Linked DNA regions of Pelodiscus sinensis. The protein of the gene in region 3 interacts with the protein of the main gene of each other region in a biochemical or structural test. Links are inferred from orthologs where the notes say so. Each region holds a gene or a part of one and is shown on either strand. Other genes may lie near its edges.

Evidence for each region. The genes of interacting proteins can lie anywhere in the genome.
Region 1: of the proteins of WWP1 (region 3) and WBP2, one has a biochemical effect on the other in vitro, tested with the Homo sapiens proteins (2 studies listed by BioGRID, with this or other methods). The link is inferred for Pelodiscus sinensis from reciprocal best matches to the Homo sapiens genes WWP1 and WBP2.
Region 2: of the proteins of WWP1 (region 3) and KLF5, one has a biochemical effect on the other in vitro, tested with the Homo sapiens proteins (4 studies listed by BioGRID, with this or other methods). The link is inferred for Pelodiscus sinensis from reciprocal best matches to the Homo sapiens genes WWP1 and KLF5.

The regions. Positions count from the first base shown.
Region 1 is NC_134730.1:11,160,452-11,168,170, reverse strand, and holds the start of WBP2 (WW domain-binding protein 2), read right to left. Parts: upstream 3,021-7,719; 5' UTR 2,911-3,020; coding exon 2,852-2,910; intron 1,412-2,851; coding exon 1,303-1,411; intron 784-1,302; coding exon 648-783; intron 1-647. UniProt on the Homo sapiens protein: Acts as a transcriptional coactivator of estrogen and progesterone receptors (ESR1 and PGR) upon hormone activation. In presence of estrogen, binds to ESR1-responsive promoters. Synergizes with YAP1 to enhance PGR activity.
Region 2 is NC_134711.1:268,922,435-268,930,039, forward strand, and holds the start of KLF5 (Krueppel-like factor 5), read right to left. Parts: upstream 3,021-7,605; 5' UTR 2,850-3,020; coding exon 2,658-2,849; intron 1,433-2,657; exon of another isoform or gene 1,282-1,432; coding exon of another isoform or gene 1,279-1,281; intron 717-1,278; coding exon 1-716. UniProt on the Homo sapiens protein: Transcription factor that binds to GC box promoter elements. Activates the transcription of these genes.
Region 3 is NC_134712.1:45,701,743-45,709,409, forward strand, and holds the start of WWP1 (NEDD4-like E3 ubiquitin-protein ligase WWP1), read right to left. Parts: upstream 3,011-7,667; 5' UTR 2,992-3,010; coding exon 2,989-2,991; intron 1-2,988. UniProt on the Homo sapiens protein: E3 ubiquitin-protein ligase which accepts ubiquitin from an E2 ubiquitin-conjugating enzyme in the form of a thioester and then directly transfers the ubiquitin to targeted substrates.

The DNA of each region.
Region 1 (7,719 bases), on a different chromosome or scaffold from region 3:
TCCCCATTCCCTGCCCTTCTGACTGGCCCCCATCCAACACTTGTGCCACTCGTCCAGAGCTGCTGCCTCGCTGCTGGAAGCATCAGGACACTGCCCAGGTCCTGGGGGAGGTTAGGCTGTGGGAAGAGGAGCTAGAAGGAAGGGGGGGGGGCAGGGTCTAGCCACCCCTGCTCATCATGCTGCCTGGAAGTTGGGCTGGGATCTCCTGGCAAGGCTATCCCGACTTCACTTCCCGATGGGAACTCAGAGGCAGCACTGAAGGGTCTGATAGGCCAGATGTGCCCTTCAGGACATAGTTCCCCTCGTCTGCCTAAAAGCCTTGTTAGCATGACCTTCTCTCTGTTATGATCCTCTTATGGATGTTTAGTGAATGAGATAATTCGGCCAAGTAAAATTTAACATTCAGAACAGAGTAGAAATTAGATTGGTTTCTGAAACAGACCAACTCATTGTAACTGGACTTGGAGAAAGGGAAAGGAGAAGCATTTTTGGTTACAGATTTTAAAGAAATACATACATGTTAAAAGTACTGAACACTGAGTATCCACATGGATACCACCCATTTTAGCTTATTGCTAAACTTGATACTTCTCTGAATCTGACGCTGTGCAACTATCCTTGCACTACTGTAACCAAAAAATACATACCTCCTGTCTCTGCTTTCACTGTCCCCTTGATATAATTTGCTCCAAAGACAGGCTGTTTAATCTCACAATCTTTCAACAGATAAAAAGGCATCATGAAAGACTGCATAGGATCCTTTCCCTTGGACACAAAGATAACCTGCAGGGGAGAGGAGCAAACTCACAGTAAGCCACATTTAGAACAAGCACAGCACATAGGGATAATTTACTGCGCAAAGATGGAGTTTGGGGTGCTGAAACTGCTTCCCACGCCTGGAGCTCTTCATAAACCCTGCAGGTCACCAGACCTTCAGAATAGTAGCAAAATGATTGTAAGCTGAAGTACCTTCTAGAAACATACATGATCTAAACCTCTCTCCTCCCGATTTCTAGTGAGCTTGCTGCTCTCTGGATGGCTATGATTAATAGTTTAACTAATGCATTAAGCATTTGCATTTCAACCTAAGGATCCCTACCAGGCTATATAGCTGCTTACAGAAACTAATTAGTATTTATGTCTTTTGACAAGGATTTACAATGCATTCATGATGCTGCTGAGGTCCAAAGATCAGCCATTTTTGAGAGCTCCTAGATTAACCATACTTGCAGAAACAAGAAAAAATTTTCTGTCACTGTCTATTTAAAGCATCTGATCCCATTACAAAAACTAATTACTTACTCTAAATGGAGTCAAGAAGACACTTCCTTTCTTGGTCCCTTTGAAGGCATCTGGCACGTGTTCCATATCACTGAATGTAATTTCTACGTGGTCATAGGTCATCAAAACGCTACAAGCAAGCAAAGGAAAGAAGAGGCCCACTATTAGAACTTGATCCAGAGGAGTGTTTTGTGTACTATTTGGGAGCCTATGTAATGTGAGCTGATGACCTCAATCCAACACTCAGCAGACAAGTGTCCCTATCATAAAAAGCATTACCACAAATGGCTTTTTGGTCAGTTTCTGGGCTTGTCAACACAGTTTTTAAATGGATTTAGTTTGATTTAGAAACTGGTAAGTTAAATCAGTGCAACTTGCTAGAGTGGCTGCAGTTACACCAGTATAAAGGTGCCTTATATTTATATAGCTTAACCTCATAGTCATAGCACCTCTATGCTAGTATAACTGTCCACAATAGCAGGGGGGTTACCTGGATTAAATTACATTAATGTAAAATCCAACTGCTAACTGAAATAGTAAAATCTATGCATAGAACAGGTCTCAGCAGACATCTGCACAAAAACTGAGTGTTGGTCAGGTCCAAGAGGTCAGCAGCCATGAGGAGTGAACTACCCTGCTGTGCCAGAACAAGTGCCTAATATGTTACAGCTGACACACACTGGCAGGGAAGCACAGGGAAAGGTGTTCTGCTGCTAGCCAGACTGAGCATCTTCTATGGCAACACAGGATTTTAAGTCTCCAGGGCGCCAACTCAACATCTTTCTCCAGCACAATATCCACTAACAAAGTAGCAAAGGCTTCAGAGGAGTAGCTGAGTTAGTCTGTAACAGGAAAAACTTAAAAAACAACAAATAGTGTTACAGCTCCTTAAAGACTAACAAAACGTGTAGAGGGTATCATGAGCTTTTGTGGGCACAAACGCTAGCATAGTAGAGGGTAGCTTCCAGAGAGTAGGAGATTGCTGAACAGCGGAGAGCGTGGCAAGGGGGTAGGAGATGGATCCGCCTGGGTCCCTGCCGCTGGCACTAGATGGGCATCACGTCCAGCAGCACTAGAGCACAGGGATGTTAACATGTGTGTAACTGGCTAAGTGTGTAACCATTGCGGCTACACGTGGGACAGCAGCCAGCACTGCCAAGAGCTGCTTTTACGCCATCTGCAGGGCGCACCAGCCCCTGCCACCCCGCTCCCGCGGAGCCGGCTGCCGCCCCGCCTCCTGCCCCCGGTACAGAAAAGAGCAGCGGGCGCCCCAGGGAGCCGCGTGTAACGGTTTGGGGTAACCGTGTAAACGGCCGCCTCGTACACCCGCAGGGCGCGCTGTGGCCAGGCCAGGAAGCGGGGATCAGGCTGCATGGCCGGGGGGGGGGGGGGGGGTCCCACCACTCCGGGAAGGGGGGAGGGGGACTCTCCCTCGCCCCCAACGGCCCACCTTAAGGGCGGGACCTAAGAGCCCCCCCCTTGCCCAATCACGTGACCCAAGCTCTACCCCACCCCCCGCGGTAACGGCTCCCGGGGGGAGAACCCCGGTGGAAGGGGGCGGGGCTCTCACCTCTCGCTGTTATTGACGATCACGCCACCCCCCTCCGAGTGGTTCCTGTTCAGCGCCATGGCCGCCGCCCCCTCGAGCTCCCGGCCTCCCGCTGTGGCCGACTTCGGTCTATGGGATGCAAGCAACACTGCGCCTGCGCAGCGAGAGACCACTTGGTGTGGGATGAGGCATGCGCTGAGATTCACTCGCCCGGTATGCAAAGCGGCTCCGCCGGGCGGCGGGAGCGGAGCATGCTGGGACTTGTAGTCTCCCTGGGTCCTCCTCCGCCATGGTGTGTTGCATGCTGGGACTTGTGGTTCCCGTGGGCCCTTTAGAGGTGGCGTGTTGCATGATGGGACCTGTAGGCCCCATAGAGTCCCTCAGCGAGGGGTTATGCTGTAGGAGCAAAGTATGGCTCGTTTGTCATTCCCCAAATACAGGCAACTTTTAAAATCAAAATAAAATATTAATTCAAAATTGTACAAACGTCTAATTGCTTATGTAGCTGGAATGGGAGCATGAAGCTGGATTTCACCAGTTATGATGTAAACTTCAAAGAAATGTGCGAAAAGAAGCAGCCGCAGAAGTCCCATTAAATTAAGTCTACGAGTACAATGTTTCATTTGTGCTGTCATTAATCATGATGTCAATTATCAAGAATATTAATTTGTATATTTTCAGTCATGCAAATGGGCATTCTGATACGGCTCTTTGTTGACCACTTGTTCTGAATTTTGATGTAGTTTGAGTCTGTGATCTGAAAAGGTTGCCAGCCCCTGTGCTATATAGCTATACTGACCAGACGGCCCAGTTTTTCCGGGACAGTCCCAAACTCAAATGTTCTGTCCCACTTATCCATCAAGTAGGGAAATGTCCCAGAAAGCCCGGCTGGATCTGGCTAGAAATGGCTCTGCCATTTCCAGCCCCCACTGGGACACCCTCGCAGACAGTGCTAGCATGGCACAGCAGCAACCCCCCACTCCTCCCAGGATATAAGCAGCTCCCTTGGTGCTTTGCCCATGGGCAGGCAGGGCTGCTTCCAGAGCTCCATTGCAGTGCATACTCCCACCTGGCAAACCCTCACCTCCGAGAGTACCCTTCCCTCCCCCCACAGGACTGTCTCTGCTGTGCGGGGCCGCCGGTCAGGCCATGCCGCCTCCTACATCCGCAGACTGTTCTTTGTACAGTGGCTGCTGCCACCGCCACCACTGCTGGAGGGGGCGGTGCTGGTCTGAGGAAAAACCCAGCAAGATGTTCCTTGGAGCTGCTGCCTGAGCCTTGGCAGGAATTGTGTGGAGCCCGGCTGGGGCGCTGTGGGGTGGGGTATGGTTGGTCTCTGCCAGGGCACTCTGTACACTGCTGCACTTTCTCTCCCTGCCCCTTCCCAGCCCCTGGGGGAGCTGCAGCACACAGAGCCGCTCACTCTTCCGCGGGGCTGCCCACCACGTAGGGGAGGGGAGAGCTGAACTCCCTCCTCCTCTTCATCCTGCTGGGGCAATGGCAGCACTGTCCAGAACCTTTCCCTTCTGACAGGGGTGATGAAGCCAGACTCCCACATCCCAATTCCCCTCATTCACTCCCCTCTCCCCCTGCCAAGATCCCGCACCTCCAGCTTCCTCTGATACCTTCCCTTCTTCCTGCACCCTCACCACTTGCAAGACATCTACCCCCACCCTGATCCTTCATCCACCGTTGCTCCTACACCCTCCTTCCTGGCCACAGACTGCATCCTCCCATGGTCCTGCTCCCTCCACCTGGCCAGACACCCTACTCCCAGCCTGCTTCTTCATCCTACCTCGCATCCAGCCCTTGCAACCTGTCCCCCTTCTGTACCCCACCTGCCTCCCAGATCCTGCATCCCATTGCTGTCCCACTCAGCAGCCCTGTCCCATACACTGAACCCCTAAGTTTTGTCCCTAACCCAGAGCCTAAGGGGGCCTATAAAATCCACTAAGTCTGGAACCCCAGAAAAGTAAATCTGGCCTATGGGAAGCCCTAAACCTCAGTCCTCCCTGTCCCTTCCCTTCACCCCGTGAGGCTGGAGCACCAGAAAAGTGAGGTGTCTCAGGTGGTGGGGCCACATCAGTGAGGGTTGGGGGTTTTGGAAGGAGTTTTTTGTTTCTCACTTGTGTGATCCCCCACTGATTTTTCTGTGTCAGTGGCCTCCGACCCTAAAAAGATTGCCTACCCCTGCCATAAATAAAGAAAACATTGAACCCTTTTGTGTTGGACATAAATTAATATTTTACTTTATTTAAAATGAAGTTGGATAAAATAAAATGAGAAAGTTAAATGCTTAATCTGTTTAATTATTTAAATTAAACCATTCTCCCTAGCTGCAGCACTACCAAAATGGCTTGGGTGTAATTGGGTAATTAATAGTGAGTTTCCATTAGCAACTGGTGATCCATGGAAAGGTTTACATTGAGCCAGGTAGTCCATGGGCCAAAATGTTGGAGAACCACTGAAATAGAGCCACCCTCGGCCTCTCCCCTGAGAGACCATCGCAGGCTTCCTGCTGCTCCACAAGAACCCACAGAGAGATCGGGTCTGCTTCCACGGCAGTGAAATCACCATGTCACTTTGGTGTGGATGATGGACAGACTCTTTGTGAGTCTTCCTCATTCAAGCAGTTGATGATTTAAACATTGTGTTAAGACACCACATGAAAACACTTGGCACGGCTACAGAAAGGCAGAATGTATCGTGTCTCTACAGAGAGAGTTGTCGTGACTAGGGTTGTCAGATGGCTGAAAGAAAAACACTGAACACCCGCCCAAAAAAAACCCACCGGGAAAAAATTTGTTGCAGGAAAAAGTAAAGGGCGGGGGGGGGGGGGGGGGGGGAGGAAACCAAAGTTACTGAGCAAAAAAACCCTCTGAGAACCTGGATCACTGCTAGGGGTTACCAGCTAATCATTTAAAAAAGAAAACAAAAAACAACCCTGGACATGCTTGGAGGGCGGGGGGAGGAGCACCAGCCTGGCTGGGAAGGGGGGGCGGAGGAGATGGGGGGCCAATGGGAAGCAGGGCTGGTCATGTGGGGGGGCGGGTGGAACGGGGCTGGCTGTGGGATGTCGGGGGAGGGGGGACCGGCCGGAAGGGGCGGGGCGGGGCTGGCCGGGAGGAAGGGGGAGTGGGAAGCAGAGCTGGTGGGGGGCGGGGGCAGCGGGGGCCGGGAGAAAGGGGGAGCGGGAAGCACAGCTGACTGGGGGTATGTAGCGGGGGCAGGGCTGGGAGGAAGGGGGGCAGGAAGCAGAGCTGGCAGGGGCAGGGAGAGGTGCAGCGGCGCTGGCCTGGGGAAATCAGGAAGAGAAACGGACTGGTGGGAAGCACAGCTGGGGGGTAGTGCAGGGGGGCTGGCCGGGGAAGATCAGGAAGGGTAGTGGGGGAGAACCGGCTGGCCGGGAAGGGAGGGGTGGTGAGCAAATTGGCCGGCGGGGAGCGGGACTGACCTGGGCACTTGCTGCCTGTCCCGTGCAGGCTTCCAGCGATGCACGAGTGAGGAGGAGGCTTCCCCTCCCCTTCACACTCAACCAATTGAGGGTTCCAGGCAGCAATTGTGGCCCCGTCTCCCAGCTGGGACTCCCAGCCGCTCCCCCGTCCACACCAGGCTTCCGTCCAGTGCGCAGCCGGAAAAATCAGAAAATACCGGACATGTCTGGTATTTTCTGGGGGGTTTTTACAGGACAGAGTGCGCAAATACCGGACTGTCCGGTACAATACCGGACACCTGGCAACCCTAGTCATGACTTGTGTGTCTGGGTGAACAAGCTCTTTGTGAGATTTGTGAAGAGATGAGATGTTTTGACTTTCAGTTTCAAGGGATTTGTTCTGTCTTTGGACTGAACGTTATCTACACCTGAATGGAGTTAGCAGTGACAATGCATTTCGGAGTTATTCTGACACACAAAGAGAAATCTGTGCTAAAGACCCCACATCCAGTGAGAGAAAATGCTGCTGTTAGAAGAAGTCAATTTAAAGTCTCTCCAATTTTCTTCAAAAATCACCTCTACCAGGCAGTGGAACTTTTACTGATGGTCCCTTATATTTTTGAAGGGTAACTAAATGTTAACTGGATCTTCTTGGGTAATATCAACAGATTGCTTTTGGCCCAATGCTAGCTTAAAGTTTAAATTGGATCAGGCCCTTTGTAAGCAGGTTGGGAAGTGGTCTCATTTGGCAATTACAGCCGGTCTCCGACTTACAACCACCTCCACATACGACCATCCGCATTTACAACCAAAGCGGTCGTAAATGTGGTCCCCGAGTTATGAACGCGATCTGCGCATACGAACAGCGCAGTCACCATGTAACTCAATGGGATCCATGTTACGAACACTTCGAGTTATGGCCAAGTGTTTGGTCCGTAACTCATTCGTAACTCAGGGACCGGCTGTATTATTAAGTATTATTTACATAACAGGCATTGCCATCATGGTACTGACATGTACATTTCTCAGTAGCTTTACATATAAAATAGACCAGCCCCACTGACCTCCATGGGAAATGTACCTTTCAAGCAGCAGTGGTAATTATGAACTTCTCCACCCTGTAATTGACATGGTTAGTTCCATATTGTCATTATGACATGTGGAAATGGAGGACACTTAATAGTTTTGCAGTAACTTCAAAAAATGCAGTTCCAGTACATCTCATTAGGCATGTAAATTCCCATTAATCAGTTAACCAGTTAATTTTAGGTCACGGTGGGGTTGTCCCCTCTGGAGCAGCCTCTGTTCATAGCAAGCTGGACTCCGCATGGAGAGAGGCTATTCCAGACACTGGTGTAGTCCCTGCCTGTGAGGCCCCCGGGGTTCTCCAGAAACAGGGGCTACTCCGGACAAGGTGGGGAGCTGCTCCAGCCCCCTCTGATTACCAGTTAATTTG
Region 2 (7,605 bases), on a different chromosome or scaffold from region 3:
GTCGCAGCATAGGATGGAGGAGGGGTTAAATTCTGTAGCATTTCTGCTTGTCTATCTGGACTTCCGGGTTCTGAACTTGGGGGTGAAGGAGGGAAGTAAGTGGCCTGTGGCTGAAGAAACTGATTTGGCATTGTGTAGGTGCATTGGGGGATTCCCTGGAATTGTTTCATTGTAGTCTGTGGAATAGCAGAGGAGTGAGTGTTAAGGCCTGCCATAGCTGATGGCATGGAAACATTGTTAAGAGAGTCCATTACTGCCGCCTGGGTAGTAGAATTGGGCATATCTAAATCCGGTGAGCTCAAGAGCTGATATAACTGGCCCTGCTGGGGTGTGACAGAAAGATGAATATCTGGAGTAGGAAGCTCTTGCTTGATGAAAATGTTGTTCACATCAGGAGTTTGGTGAGAGCTGAAGATACTGGTAAACTCTGGGAGAGCCTGGGTGGAGGCAGTAGCTTCACTCTGCTGATTGAAGATGGTAACTGGTTCTGTCTTGATGTGGGTTACACATGGTCTCTGGGATTTGTAGAGGCCAGTTCTCAGGTGAGTAATGTCAGGAAGGAAGACATTCATGTTGATACTATAAGGCAACCCTTCACTGTCAGTGAAGAACTGGTCTACAACTGAGGCACTGTCTCTTCTGTATTTTTTATGTTCAGGGATGACAGGAACCGGTGGAAGCTGATGTGTCAGATATTTCTCCATTTCACATCTTGTCTAAACAGAAAAAGAAAACAAAAAAATTCATGATTCGTTACCAATCCAGAGAAAGATGGGGCGCCAAATACTCCTTTACTGGAATAGCTAAGTAAATCTCATCTCTTCAAATAGTTAAAATAATGAAACAAAGCATATCCATTATAAAAGCAGGGTTATTTTACTCAGACACCTCACCAAGAACAAGAGTCAGGCTGACCAACAGTTTATGTAGAACAAGAGTAAAATATTTTTAAAGTATATCATTTAAAATACTTCATCAGAATATTTGCAATAAGATAATGTTACATATCAAAATCTGTATATGTAATTCATTTCTACAGTTATTTCTCGAATATTTCACCATTCTTTTTATAATTAGTTCACACACTTTTCTTTGAAATGTTAATTGCAAAAGCCATGCTTTCATCTGACTACTTCAAAGCTATATTTCAAATAATATATATTCATACTTTTGGAATTTTAGAATCTACATTAAGAGCTACAAAGTCTATAATCTGTCAAAAATGTGTTAACTATGTTCCTACTCATGTCACAATTCTCAAAGATCTTTAGTTCCTACCATGGAAATCAGTCCCTTAGTGCAGTAGTGGTAGGAATCTGTGGGTGGCGAAAGTCTGATGCATTACTGGTACAGTCATCAGTAAAGCATTTATCATGTACTCTCCAATGGGCAAATGTTACATTCCCTCTTACCCTGTAAGAAGTCCAGTCATGCCAAATCCCGTTAACCCCCCCCAAAAGAAAGCATCTGACAAATAGAAAGAAAAGTCTGCTAAAAAAATGTAATTCAAGAGCTTCTGAAAGACGACCAAACACACACAAGACACACCACACACACAACGCCTGCTTTGATCTAGAACTGTCCTTAGCGTGCTAAGCTACTTTTTCCAGCTCTTGTTTACAAGCCAAGGCCAGTTTGCTTTGAAGACAGAAACATGTAGTCTTTGAAGAGAGATACGCTGAGCCACAAGCACTGCAATACAGCCCACTAATATTCACTGCCTTGCTTATCAATTCTCGGCAGCAGAATTCTTCCTCAACCTTGGTAACCCTGCGGCTTAGGGATTGGGCGACTCGGGCTGAGATCCCGGGCCAGCGCCCCCGCCTAAATACACCTTGGAAGGTGCCTGTGCAGAGGTTTGTCACACGGCTCTGGAGCTCCCAGGCCTGCCTGTTCCGTTTATATAATGCCACTTGTGCCACGCGAGGCTGCTCACTAGAATAAACCGCAAACGAAACTATTCAGTGAAAGAGCCCAGCGCTGGAAATAGCCTCAAACTAAGCCCGCTCCTGCGCTAAAACCAGGCTGCGGTTGGCGCTGGCTGATTTTAGCTCGTCCAGCTGTTTGCATGTGGCTCTGTTGCCAAACAGTTTTCTGGGACACTCAGAAAGTCCCGAGAAGTCTCTGCAGCCCCCCCCCCCCCTCCCAGTCTAACATGACCGTGCGTGGGCGAGAGACAGGCGGCTGCGCTAATTCTGCTGCTGGGCAAGTGCAAGGGCAGCAGCTGTAGCTTTCAACACCCTCCCGGGCCCGGCCGGCTCTTCCCCTGCCCGCTCGGTAGCGCTTTGCAAGTTCGAGTCGCCGGCGCCCCGATAAGGTCACTCTCCGGCCCCATTTCCAGCAGCTCCCCGGAGCCGCGGAAGGGCGGCAGCGGATTCCCCACCCAAGAGGGAGAAGGAGAGAGGTTCGCTCCCTTGGAGGCGCGACGCAGCCGGGGAACCCAGCTTCTGGCAGCGTGGAGCTCCCCTCTCCGTCCTATCCCCCTCTCGGGTGGGGCTTCCGTCCTGCGATGGCTCCCGATGGCCGGGAGCCGCCCTGATCCCCCGACCCTGCCTCACCCAGGGCTGGCTCTCGCTCCCCTGCGGGCTAAGCCCGGCTCCAGCGCCCAAGGGCGCCGCCAGTAGGGGACCCGCCCAAGCGGCTTCCCCCTCTCTTACCTGCACCATCTCCTCCGCCGGGATCCTGGCTCCGCCGCCGCCCGCCTGCTGCTGCTGCTGCTTCAGCTCCTCCCGCGGGAACATCGGCGCCTCCCGGGCGCCCAGCACTGGCTTGAGCTGCGCGAACACCGGCTCGTCGGGCTGCTGCACGGGACCCAGGCGGGCGCTCATGGGCAGCACCCGTGTGGCCATGCCCGAGCGGGATCGCTCCGGAGCGGGCACGCAACCTGCCCCCACTGCACGGGACTGTGGCCTGGGGGGGGAGGAAGGGTGAAGAAAATCGCTGCCCTGGTTCTCTTAGCCCGCAACCCCCTGGCACCGTCCTGCACGCAGCCTCCCGCCGCTCCACCTGGCCCGGGGTAGCACTACTAGTGACACATGCCCGCCTCTATTTCAGCCGACCCCACCCTGGCCGGCTACAAGGGGGCTGGCCCTGCGGGGCTGGGCCGCCAATGGAAGCGCGCTCCTTGCCCTCGCCCCGCCTCCCTGGGGCTGGGAGCGTGTCTGCCGCGCCTAGCCGCCAGAGCGTGCCAAGGGGCTGGGCCCCTGGAAACAAGGCGCTTTGCACGTTTTAAGTGGTGCGCCCAGGACCCGAGCCCGAAGGGAGGGTCGCGGCCCTTCCTTTCCCTGCCAGGTTAGGGGCGGACAGCTCTGCATTCCGCGTGAAGCAGGTACCCGAAGCACGCTGCAAACTGTTGATCAGTTTCAACCCCAGAGCAAACCGCGCCTGGGGCTGGGGTAACAAGTGCTCTTGGATGATTTTGTGCAGGTCTGAATATTCAGCGAGATCGAGGAAGATTGGGCAGCAGCGTGAAAGTGGCTTTGAACAAGTGCTGGTAAGCACTAAATGAGGCCCACTTCAGACTTAATTATTATTTACAGTCCCTTAGGGAAGCATGGCTCCAGTACACATTTTAAAATACCCATCCTTAGTATCTTTTCATCTTCAAAGAGCTTAAGAAACATTCTCAAGCGCGCGGGGGGGGGGGGGGTTGGTTTGGTTTAGTTTTTTTTGGGGGGGTGGGGGATTTTTGTTGTCCTGAAAGCACCTCCTACTCCAGACTTCGTGTTAAATTGCAAGCACAGCCAGCATTACCATACACATCTCTGCAACAGTCTGGGAAAATGATATAAAAACAGAGCAAAAGAGAAGGAAGGAGGAAAGAAAAAAGAGTGAGTGAGTCTCTCTCTCAAACAAAGTATACGTGTAGACCAGTGCTTTTCAACCTGTGGTCCATAGAGCCTCTTAAGATTTCTAAAAGGGTCCATACCACCTCCTTCGGAATGTTTTTAGGGGACCGCCAATGAAAAAAGGTTGAAATCCAGTGGATGTTGCACAATAGGGTGAGAAAAGACTGTCTTGATACCTGCAATAGAAGTTATAAGTTAAATGTATCATACCGCATATGAGAATATAAAAAGTGAGATACTATAAATAAATCCTAATTCCTCCTTTTCTTTTCCCAAGCCAGTTCTATATTCCACAGTTGATGTAGTGATACTCACTAATCCTTGGGAAATGTTAATGGCATCCATCCCACTCCTGGATTTACTGACAGACAAAATTTCAAAATTAGTCTCTGGTCAACCTTGCACTTTCCTTCCTTTTATTTCAGGCACTTTCTCCCCAGCAAGAGAGGTGTTACTAAGTCTGAATGTAGGAAGTTAATTACAGAACCAAGAAAGAATTTAGCATAACATTTCTTTACACAAATTGTCTCTTTAGGAACAGTCAGCCACTTGATGTTTGTTATTACAAAAGGAGAGAAGGTTACTCCCCTCAGTCTGTAGCATTCAGAATAATGTGAACTAATTTCAATCCCAACCCTATAAATATAGCTAAGGATCACACACAATCTAATTTCAGCATCCTTCTCTAAAGTATCTTGTATTAAATTTAATTCTCCAGTGTAATTTTAAAATAATTCATGTAATGGAAGGCTTTTCAAGTCTTTATATATAAGAATGTATAGCGTATTTTGCCATGGTTGTTTTCAACTATAATGCCCTTCATGTGCCCCTTATTAACCATTCTGTTTGTATGGGTTTTAAAACTGTTTATAAATGTCAATTTATTTTGATGTTGAACCATAAGATGTGCTCTCACAGGCGCTTTGAACACTTTTCAATTTCTTTTTAAATTACAAATTAAATCTAAATTAGTCAGCAGCAGCTTTAAACAAAACTGATAACCTCCCAAACACTGGCTAATACTTCACCCTCTATCTGGGTACGTCTACACTACAGAGTTTTGTCAGAAAAATGGCCATTTTTCTGACAAAACTTGCGGAACATCCACACTGCAATTGTGTTCTTCCAAAAGTAAATTGAAAGAACAGAGAGCTTTTTCTGACGTTGGTACTCCTCTTTCTGTGAGGAAGAAGCCTTTTTCCGAAAGAGCTCTTTCAGAAAAAGCTGTGTGTGGACGGGGAGGGTTTTCTTTTGGAAGAAGAGGCCTCCAGGAAATAACATAGGTGCCCTGGTGGACATTCTGTCCAAAGAATCACAACTCTGAAAATATCTCTGGAGATATTTAAGAACAGGTTAGATAGACATCTGTCAGGGATGGTGTAGACGGAGCTTGGTCCTGCCTTGAGGGCGGGGGGCTGGACTCGATGACCTCTCGTGGTCCCTTCCAGTCCTATGATTCAATGATTTTATGAACTCTATAGTTCCTGTCTCCAGGCACCCTGGACAAGCCTTGGGGCAGGAAGCTGGCCTTGGAGCAGCACCTTGACCACATAACTCCAAATGCTGTGGCAGGGAGAGCTATGTCCAAGCCACAAGCCTCCTGCAAGCACCCTGGCCCTCGCAGGGAACAGCTCCAGGGGTCCCAGGACCCATCCACGGGGACCAAGAGGCGCACACCCTCTTGGCCTGGACTGCAGGTCCTCTCCCTCCTCGAGCTGTAGGGTGAGGAGGACACCTTGCAGGATCTCAGAGCCAAGTGCTGCAATGCCAACATATATGAGTGGATGGCTGAGTCCTTGGCGGAGCATAGACACCAACCCTGGCCTTGAAACAGGTTCACAGTAAGGATAAGGAGCTCTGCCAAGCATATGTTTGGGTCAGAGAGTGCAGCTCGCGCTCAGAGACAGGACCCCACACTTGCCCCTATTACCAGGAGCTCTACCAGATCCCGGGGGAGGGGGGGGAAACGTCTTCCCCACCCATTTTCATGGACTCCGGCCTGGAGATCCCCGTCATTGCCTGGCCAGAGGTCTTGGCATAGGAGGACCAGGGCCAGTTGGAGGCGGAGGAGGAGACTGAGACTGTCACCCTGTCCCTCAAGCCAGTGCTCGTGAGCCAGGATGTCTCCCAGGCCTCCTCTGATGCCTGGGAGGGATCTTCAGGTGAATGGTCTCACTTTGTCACACATGCAAGGCGGGGAAGGCAGGCACACAGGGAGTGAGGGGGTATCGCTCGGGCTGCTCAGGATGGACACGTGCTGCGGAACCACGTGCAGCATTAGTGTGTGACACGTGGATGCAGCTGGCAGTCCCTGAGCATAGATGGGATCCTGCTGCCAGGCACAGGGGAGGCCACACATGTCCTGCCATGGGGCGGGGAGGCCTGCCACGGCTGGAAGCAGGCTAGCCAGAAGGGTGCAGGCATGACCCCACATAGACTGAGTGCTGCATGTGCGAGGCAACACCTGCTCCCACGGACAGCACTGCAAGCTGCAGGTGTGTGTGTGACCCCAGAGAGGGCCAGGCTGCTCCCATCTCCTCTGCCACCCATGAGGTGATCCCACTGTGGCCAGACACTCCCCTTGCAATCACGCAGCAGAAGTAGAGAAATGGCTGTCCGGGGGGGTCCCTTTAAGCTCCTGTCTCTGCAAGGCTCTGGCACCAGCACTCGGAAGCAACTGGTGACCTAAAGCCCTGCCTGAACTGGTTCCGGATGGCCTTATATGTGAGAGAGCATCCAATCAGTCTGGACATTCTCTTTTGCAAAAGCACATTGATTTTTCCATGTGCTTTTGTGTGTGGACACTCTTTTGGAAGAAGTTTTTTCAGAAGATTTCATCCAAAAAAAAGTCTTCCGAAAGAAGATCTCGTTCAAAAAAAAAAGTCTTCCGAAAAAGCATAGCCTCTATGCTTCTAGAAATTGGCCCAGTACTTCAGTTCTTACTGAAGCACAAGTAAAGTACTTTTTAAAAAGTAACATTTTCTTTTTGGCATGGCACTCACCACTGACAATTAAATAGGCTAGTCATTTTTATGTTTGTTTTTTAATCTGTCTTGCCCACAGATGCAAGGTTTAGATGCAGACAATGAGGGGGCTGTTTAATTTCAAACAAGCAACTGATTTCATTTATATAAAAATAAATTAAACCCTCCATTGTTATACAATGGTTATATAGAGATATAGATATAGATATAGATAGAAAAACAGATAGCTATAGATACACACACACACGCACGCACGCGTTTTAATTCATGAAATATAAGTTAACAAAAGGCAGTGCCCCTTTAAGAAAAGTTGAATGAAATCAAAGTATTTATTGTTAATCAACTGAATATCATGAATACAAACCTTTAATAATTACTAAGATATTTTCATCGCTTTCATTAGGCATATAGAAGTTAGAAATTAGTTTATGCTTAAGGACAAATTGGCAGTGGAAATCAGTAGAAGTTCTTTTAAATGAACATAATTTCAAATAACGTAATTACTGCCATTATTATAAGTAATGGTTTCTCTGAAACACAGAGTATTTCACTGACTGTTAACTAGTTTTAATATACTCTACAACAGAACATACATAGAAAATAACTGTTTATCCCCATGGTAACTATTCAGATATGAATATGTGAGGAAGACCTTCAATGTGTTTAGTTACTGATAAGAAAGGCACAATGCTCTACACTTGAAAAACCATTTGTATATTTAATTTTAAAAAGGGTTAAAACTAGGGATGTAAAAGGTTAAGTGGTAAGCATAA
Region 3 (7,667 bases):
AAATAATGGAAGATATATTCTGGCTGTAGTGCTCCATGAAGCACACAGTAGGGAAGTAAAATCTCATTTAATTAGTACACAAATTTCAATTTGGGTTAAACTGGCTAACTGATTAAATGGAGGTAGGAGCCATGGCTAGGCTGGAGCGGATTCCACACCACAGGCAAGGGCTGCTCCAGCCCAGCTGCTTCCAAACCTGCGCTGGGCTTCCATCTCCCAGCTCACCCTGGCTGGGAGTCGGCAGCCACACACATGGCTGGTCGGGGTGGGGGGGAAGATGGCTCCCCCACACAGGCCAGAAGTGGCAGCAGGGTAAGAGGGAAGGTTGCGGCCCTGTGCGAGGCTGCTGATTCCCAGACCACATGAGCTAAGAGCCAGTAGCCTTGCAGGGCGGGAGCAGCCCTCCACTCACAGTGGGCCATAAGCAGGACACTGTCCCTGGGTAACAGTTAAACAATCACATTCCTAGTATGCGGATGGGTCACGAGGTCCATGAGAGCATGAAAGCCATCCAGCAGAAGGAAGGCCTGGGCCAGAGCAGACTCCAGCTCTGCTCCATAAACTCTCTGCATTGAATCAGCATTAACAGACTTTTCTGAATTCATCAACAGACCAAGCTGGTGGCATAGGCAGAGCAGAAGATACACATGCAGGTGGACATTGGACTAGGAGTCCCCCTTGACCAGCCTTATTGCTTATTCCCCCTCACCCCCCACCCCCTGGCTTTGCTGCCTCTGTATCAGAGGCAGGGAGAGGAAGCCAGTGCCCATGAGAAGCTGGATAAGCCTAACCTCCCTCCCCCCTCCCAGCCCCTCTCACTGATGCCTCTGAGAGGCAGCAGCATGAAGGGTGAGGGGGGCAGGTGGGACAAGCTTTCAAGCAGACTCCCCACACATGTCGACTCTATGGACCCCGCTTCCCCCGCACCTTGCTGCCTCCTACAGAAGCCATGCAGAGAAGGCTGGCAGGAGCCAATGCTTGGGGGAGCCAGCTTAAAAGATGGTCTCCCCCCCCCCCCCCAACAATAGCTCCACGGTACTGCCTGTCCCCAAGAGGCAGCAGAGCTAGGGAGGGCAGGGGAAGCTGCTCCATGCCAGCAGTCCCCATCTGCAAGGGGTCCGAGCTCCCCACAGACAGAGGTGGCTTCAGCATCCCACAGAGCAGCCTATGTCCATGGCAGCAAACCTTGGCTGTGGGCATACCAAGCTCTCTGTGGATAGGGGCTGCTGCCCCGGAGCAACCTCTGTCCATGGGGAGCTTGGACCCCCCCTTGGACAGGGGCTGCTGCCACCCCATGCTGCTGCTCCTGTAGCAGAGGCAGCAGCACAGAGTGGCAGGCAGAAGCCAGCTTTAACAAAACCAACTCCACCTGCCACCCCATGCTGGTGTCCTTGAGAGAAAGGCAGCAATGTAAGATGGCAGGGGTCTCCCCAGGAGTGGAGCCTGGAACACACTGGCTGCTGCCCTCCTCCCCACTACAGAGACTATCAAATAGCTGTGTAACTGATAAAATCCACTTGATTACAAAACTATTCAATTACACAATAACATTCCTAGTGCACTTCAGAAATCACAGAAATTCTCTATGAGCCCCTAAAAAATGGCAACATGGAAGTAAGCATCCTTGAGACCGAGGGCAGTGTGCCAATGTCTGGGATCCAGGGAAGAAATAATGGAGGCCAGGGAGATCATGCAGAACTTAAGCCTCACCAGGTAACAGTTCAGATCATGCAGATCCAGAATGGGTTGAAGTGCCCCTTCATCCTGTAGCCTCGGGGATGAGCAAGTAGAGGAAATAAAATCCCTGGTTATTGTAGCACTTTGGAACCTCCTACACTGACCCTCATCTGAACAAGTCCTTCAACTTCTTGCAGAAGGAGCCGCTCATGAGAAGAGTCCTTGAAGAGGGACAGGGAGAGGAGCGGGAAAGGGGGATAGACAAGAGCTGGAGGATACAACGCTGCCACGTTACACTGAGGACCCACCAGTCTGAAGTGACAAAGCACCAGGCTGGAAAGAAAGGATGGAGATGGTATGAGAATGTTACAAGACGAAGGATGTGGCAATATCAGAGGTACGTCGTCCTTGAAGGTACCCTCAAAATAGGTGCTAGAAGTGGGCCTGGGAATGGGAGAAGCCAGGAGCCAGGATGTGTGGAAGAGTGAAACAGACTCTCTCTTCCCTAGCAAATGTGCCCCCCCCCTTTTTTTTTGAGTCCTCTCAAGGTTGGAAAGACGGAGATACTAGGATTTGAGGATGGAACTTCTTATGAGCCAGGCCCAGAACTTACAGGCTGAGGGTGTGGAAGGTCATGAAAGAGTCTTTTAGTCCATGGAGCTTAGAATCTCCTTCTCACAGGGCCACCCCATTTAATTAGGGGAGATTGCCTATCTCCTAGAACTGGAAGGGACCTTGAAAGGTCATCAAGTCCAGTCCCCTGCCTTTGCAGCAGGACCAAGTACCATCTCTGACAAATTTTTGCCCCAAATGACCTCTGCAAGGATTGAACTTATAACCCTGGGTTTAGCAGGCCAATGCTTAAACCACTGAGCTATCCCTCCCCCCATTGAAGCGGAGAACCTTCACTGACTGCTTTGCCTCAGGAGAGAGTCTGGAGAGAAGCAACCATGATTCTCTCCACATGGAAATAGCCAGCGCCATCAAGCCCCAGACCCCTGCTCAAGAACCATTATTCTAGAGTACCTCTTTTTCTGGTAGGAAGGAGCTTCCTCTTCCATATCTCTCAAGGTTATTTGGTGGGGTGTCCACTCCTTTTGCTCCTTAGTAAATACCACCTCTTTTTATAGCAGCCTTAATAGTCATGATAATTTATTTTAAAAAAATATATACATCTACAATCACACACAAAAAATGTTTTGAGACGGAGGAAGGAGGTGGCTTTCAAAATGTGACCTGCATGTAACTAGTGCAGTGTTGCCTTTTAGAGAGTCTGAAAACAGCCCAAAATAAAGACTAGTCCACACTTACCATTAGATAGGCATTGCAGCAACTGATGCAGCAAGAGTCAATTTATCTGGTCGGGTGAAGAGCACTCTCCCATCAATTTGTATACTCCACTGTCCTGAGAAGCATAAGTGAAGTCTGAGGGAGAAGTTCTCCCATTGGCACAGCAGAGTGAAGACACCGCAGTAAGAAGATCTAAGTACATCAACTTCAACTATTATATTCATGTAGCTGTAGTTGTGTAATCCAGTCCCCTCCTCCCCTTAGTGTACACAAAGCCTGAGGCAGTATCTACACTACAGTTGTATTGCAAGAGTGGAGATCGATTCACTGGCAGTCAGTTTAGTGGGTATAGTGAAGACCCATCAAATTGACCACAGATCGCTCTTCAGTCAACCCCTATATGCTATCCCTGATGAGAAGCGTAAGGTAAGTCAACAGGAGAATGTTTTCCATCAACCCCATTCAAGATAGACGCCGCAGTATCTTGACCTAAGGTACATTGACTCCAGCTACATTATTGACTTAGCTGGGATTAGTGTAGATCTAGTCTGAAATGTGAACTCCCCTGCTGCCATTTGTTACACACACAAGAGTTAATGCCAGTGGGCAATACTCACTTTAATAGTCAATATTAACTATTTCACTGCTGATCAGCTGAACAGATAAGAGGGGAAATGAGGTGGAGAAGGGTGATGAAGACAGAAAAAAACCCAAGGAACAGTGGTGATCCTCAAGAAGAGTATTTAAAAAAAACAATCCTTCTTACTGAATATTACAATTTTAAAAATAAAAGTAAAAGTTTATTTACTACACTGGGCCATATTCCACAATGATTCTTTGTGAAAATCGCCCACTGCCATCTGTGGGAATTTGACTGTGGAGTAAGGATAATATATAGTCATAAATTTATATTCTGAGCCACTATCATAATTAAACATGGAATTCAGTCTTTGGTATAGAATTAATTTGGCAGTTCTTGTTTATGGCTTTCACAAAATGCAGCAGAGTAAAAAAATAACAGGATTCTTGTTAATTTAATTGTTGCTATTTAGAACACTGTGACCAGTAATGAAACAAGTGAAACTGACCATTACTTTCATTCCGTTGTTTAGAAAAGATATGAACAGCAGCCACAGCACTGGTGCTGCCTGTAAACTCAGGAAGACTGCACTGCATCAACTGCAAACATAAGAGCTTGAAATCTAATTTTTATTAATGAAAAGGTTAAAACTTGCAAAAGCTACTGAGCATCACACACAACCCAGAAAATTTTGAATTTAGCACTGGCAATAGTATTTTACAAACCTGTCTCAACTATCCAGTGAAAATTTCTTACGAATTTCTGAAAGTGTCATTAATTAAAAAGTGGAGTGGTTAACAGTACCATGAGTAACATGACTGATCCCTCTGGAAAGAGAAGACTTTGAATAGGCATGCAAAAAATTACACACACACAGTAAGTACAGTTGGGTTTTAAAAAGAGATTTAACTTATAATTTACATACTTTAAGGTAATATTACTAAAAAAACTATAACAGTATTCTTACTAACAAAGTTCATATTTTGGTGCAACCATGTGGTATACTTGCTTGCCAAGTTGGCCAAGTAAAGTACTGAAATTACAACTAAGCATTTTTTTTAAAAAGTTATTTACTCCCCCCATTGGCTTCATTTTCTGCATCCTAGTTTTAAAGTGGCTATCTTAAAGCAGCACTCAACACCTAGTTTTGGTTCTAAATGTATATCAATTTTTGTTTTGTGAAGCCTGTTTAATGTGTTAATTTCTAAATATTAAAACAATTTTATGTCAAGCTTTATCCTCTTTTCTCAAAGTCGTCAATGAGTGAGGAAGACTCATCCCCTAGATCCCTGTTTTAATCACAGTACAAAACTGAAAACATTAGAAGGATCTCTCAGGCTCCACTATTTCCTTTTCAGGAGAGAGGGAAGAAGGTGATTAGGATGGCAGGGTATTCCAACTCAGCATTCATGCACCGAATTCTGAGACAGGTTTTTTTCTTTTTTCAGTGTTTTTCAAAGAGTCAGGCGAGCAATTAAGGACAAGACTAGTAGAGAACAACGAAACAACTATGTCTCCATGAGTCCTTCCATGATCTGAGAAAAAGTGGATCACCTCTATCTTGGATCCTTCCACGGTGCCCTTGTAGCACAGGCAAAACAGAGTTCAAGTTTGGTCTCAAATAGGTGTGCAAATCTGCTAACATTTTATTTGTTTCATTAATGTATTTTTAATGTAAGACTTTAAAAACTACAGGCAGTCCCCGGGTTACGTACAAGATAGGGACTGTAGGTTTGTTCTTAAGTTGAATTTGTATGTAAGTCGGAACTGGTACATATTGTAGGGGAAAACTCTAGCCAAACATTTCTCCAGAACTCAGTTTTATTCTCCCACACCTCACTTCCCTCAGTCCTTTATTCTCAAGCTGACGTGTCTGCTAAGAAAAGCCGCTCTGCGTCTCCCTGGTCTGCTGGGGTGGGGTGCTAGCTTCGCATCTCCCTGGTCTGCTGGGGGGAAGTAGCTAGTGTGGGGTTGCCTCACCCCGTTTGTAAGTAGGGATCCGATGTAAGTCGGATCCATGTAACCCGGGGATTGCATTTGCTACCCCAACATATCCTTTAAGCTTCAAAGAAACAAACTGAAGCCCACAATTGGTAAGTTACTCCAAGAAGGCACACTCTACATCAGTGGTGGGCAACCTGTGACCTGAGGGCCATATGAGGCCCATTAGGGTTCTGTATGTTGCTGGCAAGACATTGCATTTACTGTTGCTCATGCACAGAGTTGTCAAATTCTGCTGGTTTCTTTTGGTGTCTTTTTCCCCCCTATCAGTATTACTAAAGTGATACACATGTAAAACAAAGGCATGTGAAGTGAGGAGCAAGTTGATTGAACATAACATTGACTGTGAAAGCAGTGCGCTTCTTCTGCATCCAATCAAAGCACTCTTACGTTTCTGTTGACGCATCCTGCAAATTCTAGGTACACAAGTGCAGTTAGCAAAACTACCGTATACTGAGAGACTATCTTTGTCACAAAAATTTCGCAGCCCACTGAGATGGACAGCCACTCATGTGGCCCACTCACTAGCCTGTGATGCCTAGCGCTGCCCTAGATGTTGCAAATTCGTACCTATATGAATAGCTTCACATATATGCATTATGATCACATGTATAACTATGTAACACTAAAAACATTACTGGCCATAAGCACTACTCCACAAAGCACATTGTATCCAGGAGTGTTTGCAGAATCAGTCCATTATAAAGAAGTCTAACCTATTGTACACACCACCACATGGGGAAGAGAGGTAATGGCATAAGAGTGCTAAAAAAAAAATCAACTGGTCTTACAAGTAATAGGAGTTTCATGTATTTTGGCCTCTCATTTCACTCATGTCTTAGGGCCGAGTCTAAGTAAGCTACTGCCACCTCCTCCCCAAAAATAAAGAAAAGACCATGAACAGTTTTCATTTTGGTCAAGCCTTTACAGCTCATTAGACCATAAGTTAGGAAAACACTGAAATACATTAACTGAGTTCAAATGTAGTAGATTAACATTAGTTTATCAAATCCCATTTAATAAAAACCTCAATGAATTTGTGAAAGATTATAAGACATCATCAATAATCAATTTATTCTTTCCCCAACAAAACTGTTTAGTAGCACAAGCAAAATATAAATGCTGCACTATTTTTATTGGAAGTGCTATCCATCCATTCATTCATATGTTAAATATACTAAATATGTGACAGCATAATCTAGTGAGCCAATTTCTGCATAATTGTATAACCTGGATAGCTACCCAAGAATACCATTCTGATGATTTCCTATATGAATAGGAGATCATCACGGTATTTTTGAAAATGACTTTGTCAGATTTGAACATTCTGTTACAAATTCATGTACTAATTTTTGTTCATATATTTTGACAGATTGTTTTAACTAAATCTTGTTTAAAGGGACGTACAGCAAAATGCATGCCTTTAATGTAGTTCCATTTAGACACCTATTTTGTTATTAAAATAAGGATCAGTAAATAGAAAGAAGTCACTACAGTAAATGGAACACACACTATGCTGTTGTAGCTCACGATAGCATTTATAACAACAGCAAATAACTTCTGCATATTCTGTTAAACCACTGACATTTTAAAATACAAATATCAACCACTGAAGGAGTCAGACGTTACACAGCACCAGAAAGATTTGCAGGCACTTCTAAGCTGGGCAGTAACAGCATTAATTGTCCCTCCAGCCCCACAACGAGCTGCAGCAAAGCAGCCCAGTACCTCCCCTGCCCATAGAAGGAGGGTGGGGAAGGCAGGCGGCAGGGTCACGTCTATCGCGGGGGAGGCTTGGGGTATCCCTGGACCCCTGCCCGGTTGCGCGGAGGGATGTTGCATTTCTGTTACCTAACTCCCTCTCCTCTTTCACCGCTCTAGGTAAAGCGACAAGGGCCGCCTCTGGGACTGCCCTGCTGCTTCCCTGCGACTCAAGCGCTTCCCACAAGCTCGGCACGGACACGGGTCAGGGCTCAGCCCCATCCACCCCCTTGGCCAGGCCAGGAACGGCACAAACAAGGTTACCCGCCTGACACAGAGACCCTCCCTCTCCGCTCCCAGCGGGCATCCCCACCGCCCTCCCAGTAGGGCCAAAGGGGGGCCCTGGCACGGCTTCCTT